3 linked regions of the Sus scrofa genome follow. The protein of the gene in region 1 purifies or fractionates together with the protein of each later gene. This does not show direct contact. Links are inferred from orthologs where the notes say so. Each region holds a gene or a part of one and is shown in the gene's direction. Other genes may lie near its edges.

Evidence for each region.
Region 2: the proteins of SLC39A11 (region 1) and FAM174A purify together in Homo sapiens (co-immunoprecipitation; 3 studies listed by BioGRID and IntAct, counting the BioPlex papers as one, with this or other methods). This does not show direct contact. The link is inferred for Sus scrofa from reciprocal best matches to the Homo sapiens genes SLC39A11 and FAM174A.
Region 3: the proteins of SLC39A11 (region 1) and GALNT16 purify together in Homo sapiens (co-immunoprecipitation; 3 studies listed by BioGRID and IntAct, counting the BioPlex papers as one, with this or other methods). This does not show direct contact. The link is inferred for Sus scrofa from reciprocal best matches to the Homo sapiens genes SLC39A11 and GALNT16.

Annotation. Positions count from the first base shown.
Region 1 is NC_010454.4:7,885,117-7,888,732, forward strand, and holds part of SLC39A11 (zinc transporter ZIP11), read left to right. Parts: intron 1-1,146; coding exon 1,147-1,305; intron 1,306-3,616. UniProt on the Homo sapiens protein: Zinc importer that regulates cytosolic zinc concentrations either via zinc influx from the extracellular compartment or efflux from intracellular organelles such as Golgi apparatus. May transport copper ions as well.
Region 2 is NC_010444.4:106,553,871-106,558,055, forward strand, and holds the start of FAM174A (membrane protein FAM174A), read left to right. Parts: upstream 1-1,371; 5' UTR 1,372-1,617; coding exon 1,618-2,054; intron 2,055-4,185.
Region 3 is NC_010449.5:92,927,394-92,931,749, forward strand, and holds the start of GALNT16 (polypeptide N-acetylgalactosaminyltransferase 16), read left to right. Parts: upstream 1-1,440; 5' UTR 1,441-1,607; intron 1,608-1,978; exon of another isoform or gene 1,979-1,996; 5' UTR 1,997-2,109; coding exon 2,110-2,286; intron 2,287-4,356. UniProt on the Homo sapiens protein: Catalyzes the initial reaction in O-linked oligosaccharide biosynthesis, the transfer of an N-acetyl-D-galactosamine residue to a serine or threonine residue on the protein receptor.

The DNA of each region.
Region 1 (3,616 bases):
CAGTGCTGGCTCTCATGTGGTTATGAGGGGTAGTGGGTGTACGCAAGCCGAGGTGTCACAGCATCTATGAGAGTAAACAGCCGTGGATGAGTGTTTCATTCACTCACACTGGACAGCTTTTGATCAAATTGACCTCACTGAGATTGGAGTCCAGCTTCATTTCTCTCTTTTCCTTCAGGTTCGCGCCCCCCCTCCCCAGCCCCTCCAGCCCCTGTTGAGTTTTGAAGGTCCCATTTGCTCAGTTCTCTGGATCTGCCACTTTTTGGCTCTGTGACCTTGAGCAAATGATCTTATTACTTTGAGATTCAGTTTCCTTATCTTCAAATAGCAATAGAAACAACATCTTCCTCCCAGCATTGTTGGGGTGAAAAAAGAAGACATCAAATGTGAAACTTTAGTCCCTGGAAATAGTAGGTGATCAATAAATATTCATTCCCTTCTTCCTTTTTAGAGATGAGAAAATGGATGAGCCTGAGCTAACATGGTCTCACTGGTTGTCTTCAAATACTTCAAGGGCTGTCACGCAGCACAGAGGAAAGACACATTGCTTTGGTGCTCTAGAGAGCAGACCTGGAGCAAATGGGTCAAAACAGAAAGTAGACAGCTTTCAGCTCAACATAAGGAAAAGCTTTGGAGAGCTGTCTCATGGCCAGTGCAGTGGAGCTCACGAAGTAGTGAGCAACTGGTCCTGGAAGTATTCAGTCAGCATAGATTTTCTCGCCAGTGCTGTTGGCCTTTGAAGCCAGATAATTCTTTGTTGTCAGGGGCTGTCATGTGCATTGCAAGACGTTTACCAGCATCTCTGGCCTCTGCTCACTAGATGCTATTGGCAACCTCTGCCTTGCTCCCTGCCCTTCTTGTGACAACCAAAAATGTTTCCAGGTATCTCTGGGAAGGCAAAAGTATCCCTGATTGAGAAGCATCGAACTAGAGGCTAGATGACAGCAAACTAGACTTCCACTTCCCAAGGTCCCCTCCATCCGACCCCACACTGCATTCTTAACAACAGTAGAATTCTAATGGTGGGTCAGTTACCATCGAGGCTACCCAGGTGACGTGGCGTAGTTCAGTTTGGGCCCTAGAGAGCAAGTGAAGCTCCCCTTCTGGGGGTGGTTTAATGGTTTGCTGTTTATCGTGGTTTTGCAGGTCATGTTGGCGGCTTCCTACTGGTCCCTCCTGGCGCCAGCGGTGGAGATGGCCACATCCTCTGGCGGCTTTGGGGCCTTGGCCTTTTTCCCCGTGGCTGTCGGCTTCACCCTCGGAGCTGCTTTCGTCTACGTGGCGGACCTCCTGATGCCTCACCTGGTGAGCTCCGCGCCCCCTGGGGGCTCCGTGTCAGGATGTAGTCGAGCTCTGTGCTGTAGATATACTTCTGTTCCAACTTGACATCCCTGGTCGTGTCTCTTAGGTAGCCAGTGATATTGAACTTGATTATTTCAAGCCACTTAGGGCTTTTATCTAGAGGAATTGGATTGCAACTTCATTCCCCAAAGAAAATAAGCTTTGCTGAGTATGACTCATCATCCCCTTAGTTATGTTATGGTAAAGTTCAGATTTTAAATGTCAGATCTCATCACAATTATAGAAAACAGCTGACGTCGTTTGAGGCGACACTGTACGTAGGAGTGGACCTGACACTGGGAGACGGGAGTGGCCGTGATGGTGGTCCTGACCTTTAAAGAGCTTATGGTGTCACCAGGGAGATGACAACACACCCAGCTACCACCCAAGACCATGGACAAGGGCTTTTTAACAGGAGGATGAGGTGGCTTGGGTTGGGGAATGAGCATGTACTTGCTTGCAGAGAAGCATGATATGCACACCAGCCTGAAGTCTGGCTGCGGTCACTGAACAGAGAGCCAAAGCCGGGCCCTGAACTCACGACCCAAGGCCGTTGGCTAAAATGGGGTTGGCTGAAGGGTCCATGATGATAAAGATCCAGTGCAGGCACATGTCACCTTACCAGATGCTGTGTACCAGCAAGTCCCAGAGGTGGCCAGAAGCCCCCCAGAGAGACCTGAGCTGGCGCCTGATATCCCTGCTCTCCCAGGAAGGGAGGAGGCACAGGAAGGACCATGTGGGGAGAGCTGAGTTTCTCTGCTGGATCGTCGGCTGGGCCTGTACCCCAGGAGGCAGGCTCACGTTCACTCCACTCCCCTGCCCACCTGCCTTCTTTCTCCCCCGCTGGGGAGGGAGGAGGAAGAATTCCTGGGCACTTGGCCCAGGCACTCCTGAGAAAGTGATGACTCCTGTCCCAGAAAGACCCCCTCTGACCAAACAGCTGGGCGCGATGGTTGGGAAGAGAGCCATGCTATTGTCTCAGAGGAAAGACCACACGGCAGTTTTGTTCATTGAAAGCTTGCATGGCCGTGTCAGTTTCTGCCCCCGGACCCTCTGCTTCCTTGCCGTCAAATACGTCCACTTGGTAACGGCTTTGAGAGGTCCTCCCTGTGGCTGCCCTCACACGCCACCCCCGCCCCCCCCCGGTTATGTGTACACTTGCTGTTGGAGTGTGTCCTCACCCTGGCGGGAAGATCTGGCAGCCAGTGGCCTTCACTCCTGATGAGCAGACAGGGGGCTGGCTCTGCACAGCCCCTGCTGGGTCTCCTCCTGCCCTGCCCACCTGGCTCCACCTGTGGGCTTCCAAGGCAGTATCTTGCAGAGGGCTCTTTGCAGTCGTGATGGGTCACCATTCCCTGCTCCTGGGGCCAGGAAGTGGGGAGGGCAGGTGTATTTGATCAGCTGTCTGAATGTTGAGGCTTTATCTGGGCAGTGCAAATAGTCATTGAGCAATTTGTTCTGTGCTGTGGTACTTTTTTTTCCCCTCGTCTTTTTTTTAACCTCCTGCTTCCTTATTTATTCTACTGTATGCTTTCAATATAGAGAAGATCCCAGGGGAACGTCTTGGATAGACTACACAGAAAATTAGGAAAGGGCTCCAAAAAGGCATAATAACTATTAACGCTCAGAACCTCGCTAAACGGGCAGAAAGATCAGCCTGGCAGCAAACATCTGTTCCAGGACATTTCGAAAGAAATTGGTTCTTGCTGTTGATGTGAGAAAGGCAGTTTGTCTTGGAAAGTCTTATAAACAGATAAGCATTATTTATAATTGCTGCAGTCACTGAATACAAAGGTGGTCATACCAACGGTTCTTGGGAGCCGTCTGTCCACGCTGAGACGGGCTGGAGGTTTCCCTGGGTTTCATTATGACTTTGCTTACCCAGAGACGGCGGCAGCTTGGACCTATGGACGATGCTTGGCAGAATCTGAGTGAATGGGTTTACTTTTTTTTTTTGTCTTTTTAGGGCTGGCTGCAGCTGCTGGCCTACACCAGAGCCACAGCAACACTGGATCTTTAACTCACTGAGGGAGGCCAGGGATCAAACCCACATCCTCATGGATGTTAGCTGAGTTCATTACCACTGAGCCACAATGAGAACTCCATGAGTGACTGGGTTTTGATCTTGAGTCTGTGTGGGTTGTCTAGCATTGGCTGAACACCCCCCAGGGAATACAGTCTTCTAGGGGTGTGGGGCGGGCGGCAAGAATTTGGTTTCAAACCCTCACTGCAGTGGGAGTTTAGGAACCAGGAATTTTGTGGGTCAGCTCAGACC
Region 2 (4,185 bases), on another chromosome or scaffold:
ACACAACAGTAAAATGAGAAATTGTAAGAAAGGAAAGATGATGCACTTTTTTTTTTTTTTTTTTTTTTGGCTTTCAATGAGTTAATTACTGGACTTTTTTGAGAAGTAGAAGGAAGTGGCATTACATACTAACCCTATTCCATGTATGGCTTTGAATAAGGTTGTTAATAAAGGAGACAGGAAACCCAAGGAGCCACCTCATTACTGAAAATGCCCAGGTAGGAAGCTAAAATTGGGGTGTGTCACCAATGGATTTCCTCACACTAGAACCCAGCATTAAGACACCGAGGCCTTGTAATTCTACACTGCAGAAGCAACTGCATTACTCTGTCACCCTGAAGCAGGCAGAAGACACTATCCTGTCCACCTTATCTACAAAAATCCTTTAGAAAAATTTTATTGTAGATTCTATACCTGTTATTTACGACACACTTCCAAATTCAGAATGAATGCAACTGTTCATTGTGTTATCTCCATTTGAACCTAAGTGCTATAAGAGCAAGGACCATGTCCTACTCCTCTACTATTCAGTACTCAGACACAGTGCTAAGCAAGGAGTGAAATATCTGAACAATGCTAAATGAATAATTTTTTTAAAAAACAAATACTAACTTCAACTTCTGGTCTGGTGTTTTGTTTGTATGTTTGCATCTGCTCAAATCAAAGTTCCACGTCACTGATGTCAACGTTAAACAGGCAAAGAAAACTTTATTCAACATTATTGCAACAGAGGAGAGAGGCCAGGACTCTGATCTCAACTCACCAAAAAGTAACAAAAAACTTAAGAGATTTAAGAACAGGGAGCACCTCAGGCCAATTATGATTACTAAATGAAATTACCCAAGAGAAAAGTAAATTTTTCTTTCAGCTTCCTGACAGGAGATAGTTCTACAACTCTGAACAAGGTGCCCCCCTAAATTAGGCTCCTACCCTTCCACAGAGACTGGGAGCTAGTGCTATCTTTGTTGACATTTCAAAAGGATGGCTCCTAATTCTTTAATAAAGAGCCCTGGATATTAACACCACCAATACCGTTTTAAAGATTTATATTTCAAAAACACAGAAAATAAATGCACAGTTACAAGTTTTCTAACATCAATGCTCTAAGGAAGAAAGCCGTATAAAATTTGTACCTGAGCTGAGGGAAACGTCAAAGCGGTCTTAATAAACAATAAGCTGCATATCTGCAGTTTTGCACAAACGAACTCAAATTAGGAGCTTCCAATCTCTTAAAGTATTTTCATGCAAAGTGTTGCTGCACATTTTACACTACTCTCTTTTGTTTACTTTGTTACTAGGGAACCAACCACAGAGGGTTTCCCCTGGCCCGCAGGCAGGGTGCCTGCGCTAGTGGCCTTGCGCGCCTGACGTCACTAAAGGCGCCGTCCCTGGCATGTTAGCAACCGAAAGCGTCCCTAGTAGCAGGGCTGCTGAGATGTACGAACTTCCGGTTCTCCCGGCAGCTGCAGCAGCTGCCGCCTGTGCCACCTGCTGCGGCGGGCCTTAGCCCGGGATTTGGTCACCCTTTCTTCGTTCTTCGCTGCTCCCATGGTCCCACCTGGAGCCAGGGCGGTGGGCCCCGAAGCTCCCACGTGGTGAGAGGGCCGTCCGGGGACGATGAAGGCAACGCACTATCGCTGCTGCCTCAGCCACCTCCTCGCCTCCGCCCTCCTGCTGTTGCTACTACTGCCAGAGTTGAGAGGGCCTTTGGCGGTGCTGCTGCAGGCGGCTGAGGCCGCGCAGGATCCCGGGCCTCCAGACCGTGGGCCGAGGACCCTGCAACCTCTGCCACCTGGCCCCACAGCTCCCCAGTCCCCAGGCCGCGCTCAGGCCGAAGCCACAGGACCACGGGGCGCAGAGGGCGGCAATGGCAGCTTTCCTGGGGCGGAGCTTGCTGCCGACCCAGGCGGGAAGGCGGGGGAAGAAGGCTCAGTGGGTGGCGTCCTTGCTGTGAGCCCTAACCCCAGCGACAAGCCCATGACCCAGCGGGCCCTGACCGTGTTGATGGTGGTGAGTGGTGCGGTGCTGGTGTACTTCGTCGTCAGGACGGTCAGGTGAGGCGAAGCCTCGATGAGCCTCCTTTGCAGGCCCAGTGAGTGACCTGGCATTGCCCTCTCCCCGCCCCCAGTATCATGGGTGCAGACCTGTGATAACTGTCTTAAAAACCTGTGGTACCTTTGGGAGAATTTAGACCACCAAGTGTTTCTCTCTTTCATTTATAAATTATAAATTAGTACCCAATTTCTAAATCAATATTTATATGAGTAACTGAATGGTAATACGGAATGATCTTATTATAGTATTTTATAAAATGTAAAAGAAGAAAAGTTCTTTTAGCAGCAGTTTCTTAGTGTTGGCTTTTAATCCGTCACCTTAATAATTTTCTTGTACCATATGAAGTTTTATACATTCCACCTTTTTTGATCTGGGAAAGTGAAAATTTGGTATGACAGTCACTAATAGTGACTAATAGTCACTGATATGACTTTGTCATAGTCACTATTAGAAACATCTAGGTATTCATTTTGCATGCCACAAAGTAATCCAAAGCGAAGTGTTACTAGTTGCATGATAAGATGGAAAACTGTTACCTATGCATCAAAGGGGAAAAAAATGTCATAAATATGATCTAGTTTTAATATTGGAACGTATGCTTAATATCCTAACAAAACTAAGTATATCTGATTTTAAATTTACAAAAATTTGAATTAGTAAATCAAATTAGTAAATTTGATATTTCACACACAAAAAAACCTTTCTAAAATGAAGTCATCTATAAATAGCAATCCCAAATCATTCAGAAGTTTAATTTTCAAAATGAGTATTTTTGAGCCTATTCCTACTACAGAATGTTAGATTGTAGAATTATCTGAATTTCAGATTCCATACAGATATGGACACTTAATGACATCTTTCACTTTACATATGATGAAACTGACCCAGAAGGGTAAAGTGATTTAACTGGTGTCCTGAGGGATCTAATAATCTTCTGTGATTGTACAATCCACTGTTTGCTTTGTTTGAATTTTTTTTTTCCATTAGCACAGTTTCTATATCTTAACCTATGATCAACCTTTTGATTAAGTAAACCAGGTTATTATGTTGTACCAGGTTATGAATAAATGTAGATGACTGTCACTTATTTTTCTACTCCCCTTAATGCCTTATCAAGTAGAAAAGGAATTAAAAATTCCTATTAGTGATATTGTTATTGTTATAAGCAGCTCTACTTGACACATTCCATTGTTACTGAAGTGAAGTTATATTATGGCACCAATCATTTTAAAATATTCTATGTAATAAGACTGATTTGGAAAATCTATTATAAAGCCTCTTTAGGTTAATTGGGGACCACCTTTTTGAAGGGTTGACATGCGAAGTCAAGACCTCAGTGTTAGAAGACCCAACCAAGAGAAGAGCTGAGGAAACATTGTCTAGTTTCCTCCTTTATAGAGTGTAGGTTTACAGGAATGCAGAGGTTTATTGTTTTAGAAAATAATTCACATTTTTTAATATGATTGCCTACCTGTACTATTTCATATATATTTTAAAATAGATTTAAATTGAAAGTTTCATTTTAAACATCTATTTATTATCTTGTGAAAGGAAAACCAACATCCCTTGGCTTAAATAACTAATTTTAAAAGTACTATGTAAACCAGTGGTTCTTGACATGTGGTCCAGGGAACCCTGGAGGGTATGAGGGCTCTCTGAGCCCTCTTCCTGGGATCTGTAAGAATTATTTTCAAAGTAATATATTCTCTTATAGGTTTATAGGTTCAAATTCATTGATGTAGTTTCAAATTCCACAGTGCGACTAACTTTTAAGAAACCACCTCATGTTGAGTTTTGCTATTACTATCAAAAAAGAAAAAACACCAGTATCTACCATATTTTTTTTTTTCCCACTGTACAGCAAGGGGGTCAGGTTATCCTTACATGTATACATTACAATTACAGTTTTTCCCCCACCCTTTCTTCTGTTGCAACATGAGTATCTAGACATAGTTCTCAACATCTACCATATTTTGTACATTGTTCTATACTGGGAATATAGTAGAGAATAAGACGGACAATGAGTCTTTTCTCATAAAGACTATATATTAATCTTAGAAAGCCTACTTGGTTCCTTCTATATATTTTCCAGTTTCTACAGAGGTGATCTAATTGCTGTTTGGAATATTT
Region 3 (4,356 bases), on another chromosome or scaffold:
GCCGCTCCTGTGGCATATGGAGGTTCCCAGGCTAGGGGTCTAATTGGGGCTGTAGCTGCTGGCCTACGCCAGAGGCACAGCAACAAGGGATCAGAGCTGCATCTGCGACCTACACCACAGCTCACAGCAACATCGGATCCTTAACCCACTGAGCAAGGCCAGGGGTCAAACCCAAAACCTCATGGTTCCTAGTCAGATTCGTTAACCATTGAGCCACGATGGGAACTCCATTGCAGCCAGATTCTTAGCCCACTGCACCACAGCAGGGACTCCCAGGGTCACAGTCTTGGTGGGGTCATTTGGGGTGTCCTAGTGGTTAGTCTTCTGAGTAAGGAAAGGGTATTACAGTCACAACGATGACCTTTCTGCAGCAAAAAACCCATTAGGGTTTCCTTTCTTCATTTCACTTCCTTCTAACAGAAATGCATTGAGCATCTATTACATGCTTCAGTCCTGCGGGCTGGGGAACCAGGGAAATGAGTGATGCTGATGGGGCGGTCAGGGGAAAACATGAACTGTGATTTCACCATTTGCCTGATTCTCGAGGCAGCTTCATTTAGAGGCCAGGACCCACATGAACCAGTGTCCAGGGGCACCAGCAAGATGCAAACTCCCTGACAACCATGCTCCTCACCTTCAAAGTCCTCCTGAGTCCAGACTCGCCCAGACTGGCCAATCTCAATTCCCACCAAGAACTTCCCAGCACCCCAGGCCCCAGTAATGCCAGGTAGCTCTCTTCCTTGAAAACATCAAGTGCTTTCATCCTCTGGACCTTTGCTCAGGCTGTTCAGGCAGCTGACACCCTGCCCTGTCCTCGCCTTGCCAGCCTCTTAAGAATCTATTCAAAGGATTTATCCACCTTCTGTGAGAAGCCTTCCCCTAAGACACCCTTGCAATACATTATGTCTTCCTCTGTGACCCCTGCTTGGTTTATTTAACATCTGTTCACTGAGTATCTGCTCTGTGCCCGACCCTGTGCAGGTCTCCTGGAACAGGGGTAGTTCCGCCTGGGATGTCAGTAGTTAACATCAGATTCTCAATGCCACCAGGGATGGGACCGAATCTCAATGATTTCTGTGTTTGTGTCTCTCACTCCCGTGTTTTGCACTTTGTGGAAAGTGTCAGACAGAGAGGTGGCTTCTAGACTGGGCTCTGCCCACTAATTAGTCGTGTGATCTTGGGCGAATCTTCCGGCCCCTCTGGTCTCCCTTCTTCCTGATGATAAAACCCCAGCGTTGTTCAGGGGACAACGAGGCAGGGTACAGGGAGGCATCACGAAAGCTGGGAGCTCCCGGCCAGTGAAAGAGGTGGGGTGACGGTACCCTATTCTCCGTTCACTGGCTCTGAAGCAGCGCCGCTTCCCCTTCGCTCTCTTCGAATGTCAAGTGCACCAGCTTCCAATCCCTCCTCGGGGCGGGCCCTCTGGCAGCTCGGAATCCTAGGCTGCGGAGGATTCCAGTGCAAACTCTAGACTCTACTCCCGCCCAGCCGCCCCTTCCCAAGGACTCGCCGAACACACCTTAAACCTCGCTCCAGAGCGCAGTTCAGAGCGCAGTCCAGGACCGCGGCTCCGCGGCGCGGGCCCGGGCCGGGGTCGCGCATCTCCGGTCGGTGACTCAAGGCCGCTGGGTCCGGGGGTGGGTGAAGGTAGGCGGGACCGACCAGCGCCGCGCGGAGGCAGCCGCCGGGAGCTCGGCCGCCCAGCAGTGGAAGCCGAGACTGGCTCTGGCCCATCGCCATTCCGCCGCGGGCGTCTGCCTCGCCCGGCCTTCCTCCCGCGCGGCTTCGCACCCGCCGCACTCCTCTCCCTGGGCGCAGCAGCCCCGCGGCCGGCGGGGGCTGGAGTTCGGGGCGGGCTCTGCGCGCGAATGAATGGGCGCTCGGGGGACGCGCGCGCCTGGGGCTGAAGGGCATTAGGACCATGAGGATCGCTCCGCGCTCCTGTCTCTCCCTATCACCCCCCCACCCCCACCTCTCTCCTTTTTCTGCGCTGCAGGACTGAGCAGCCCGGCGCGAGCGAAAACAAACAGCTGGGGCTGCGAGTGCCCCCTTTCCGGCCCCAAGAGCACGCCGGCCCGGGCCCCTACTCGGGGCGCTCGCCCGCCCACCATGAGGAAGATCCGAGCCAATGCCATCGCCATCCTGACGGTAGCCTGGATCCTGGGCACTTTCTACTACTTATGGCAGGACAACCGAGCCCACGCAGCATCCTCCGGCGGCCGGGGCTTGCAGAGGGCCGGCAGGAGGCCGGAGCAGCTCCGCGAGGACCGCACCATCCCGCTCATTGTGAGTACGCGCTGTGCGCGGGGCGGCCGGCAACGGAGGCGCGCTTCCTAGCCCCGCGCGGCTGCAGAGGGCGCGGGGCCGGGCCAGGGGCTGCGTGCCCGCCGCGCCCCGCCAGCATTGTATATGTTGGAGCATTCCTGTCCGTTGTTATGGCAACCGCTCTCGGGCTAGCGGGGCCAGGGCGCAAGGATGGAGGGAGGGTGACAGCGAGTGGGGGCTGGGAGAAAGTGCTGCAAGTTTGGTGGGCCCGGCGTCCGCGCACGACTGGGAACGTGGCCGCTTTCTCAACACTGCGCCGCCTGGGCCGGGGGCTGCCGGTGCGTTCCCCCGCCCTGGAAGGCAGCTGAACCTTGAGCGCAGACAGCCGGCAGTGGAAACCGCTGGGTGCTGAGCGCGTAGGTGGCCACGCGCACCCCCTCTCTAGCCTCCTGGGGGCAAAAGATGTGTGGCGGGGACGCGGGGTGAGGCTGGGTCACTAGGGGCTGTGCTGGACTTTGAGCTCCCTTTTCAGCCCGGGTAAACTTGAGTTTGCTTCTTTGGCACGGAGGACTCCCCGCTATTGGGGATGTCAGGGTCGCGGAAAGCTGTTGTCCAGTACACGTCCCCCACCCCCACACCAGTCCATCACGACGAGTGAACCAGCAGCGTCTGCGCCCAGGTTCGGAGATAGCCTCTCACGAGATGGGCCCGCGACGTCAATGCGAGCCGGGAAACCAAGTCGGCAGGGCAAGCGGGGTGGGGGGCCTCCGCGGAGGGGCAAGGGCGGGAGCGCCCTCCAGGCGCTCTGGGGACCTGGGCCAGCGCGTACTTGTCTCGGCCTCCGCCCAGGTAGCAAGCAGCTCGTGTGGCTGGGGCACCTGTTGAGACGGGAGGCTCCGGGACCCGCAAGAGGCTCGCTCCAGGCGGGCCGCGTTCTTTCGCTGCAGGGCTGCAGGCGAGCGGTGGGCGAGACTCTTGGGCGACAGCCGGGACGAATTGCTGGGCGAGGGCAGTCTAGCCAGGAGGAAGGAGAGCAAAGGGGCTGAGAGTGGGAGAGTGGAGCCGGGTGGCCATTCTGGAAGATCTGGGCCTGGGGCGGGAGGGCGGTGGGAGCTCCTGGAGAGGCGCAGAGTCAGGAGGGCCGAAGGCTGGTGTGGAGCAGAATCTGAGCTATTTGTACCAAGGCAGCTGAGCTCCAGGAATATAGTGTGTCTGTCGGGGCGTTGTGTGTGTGGAAGTGCTCTCATATTCCCATCTTGCGGCAGCTTCCGTGTCTTGTTACCCACCCAGAAAGAAGTAAAAATCCTCTGCCAAAGAATCGTATTTCCAGGCTTTGCCTGAGGAGACCTTGGGGTTTGCAGGGGAGTTTTCCCCAGCTCGACACCCACCCCCACCCCCAGCTTCCCAGATCCCTGAGGTCTCTGGGGGCAGCCTTATTACGTGGAGTGTTTCCTTCTAGGCTGAGGGTTCCTGCCACTAGGGCACTGTTTCCAAAGCACTTGTGGATGTTTGGACAGAAAGGCTGATGAAGAAAAAGCCTCCTCTGTAAAGATCCTGGAGTGCTGGGTTAGAGACACATTAGACAGATTAGAGTCGGAACTGGGCACTAGGGCTGTGGCCTGGGACCCTAAGGGAGGGTCCACAGTGGGGACTCTTCCCAACTGAGCTGCCTGGTTCTTACTCTCTGAGAGGGGCAGCTCTGGGCCAGGGTAGGCGGGCTTGGAATGGCAGGGGAGAGGCAGGCTGGCCAGATGTTCTGTCCTTCTCTGTGGTGACGTGATGGAGGAGGGTCTGAGCTGGAAGAGGGGGAGGAGGGGAGGGAGGAGGGGGAATGGAAGGCAGGAGCACCGGGAAACTGCAGCTCAGGAGCCCGCGGCTGGTCTCCTCACAGGTGCTTCGGTTTCAGAATCCCGGAAGACCATTCAGACCTGCGAAATGATGAAAGCCTGGGATTGGGGGGGTGTGTGGGTGGTGGTGGGGGTGTTGGGGATACTGGTGGAGGCTGATGGCACTTGTTTTGAAGGGTAGAAAGTGGAGGTCATGGGGCCTCCAGTGAGCATCCTCTCACCCTCGCCTTTTTCCCATGGGGTT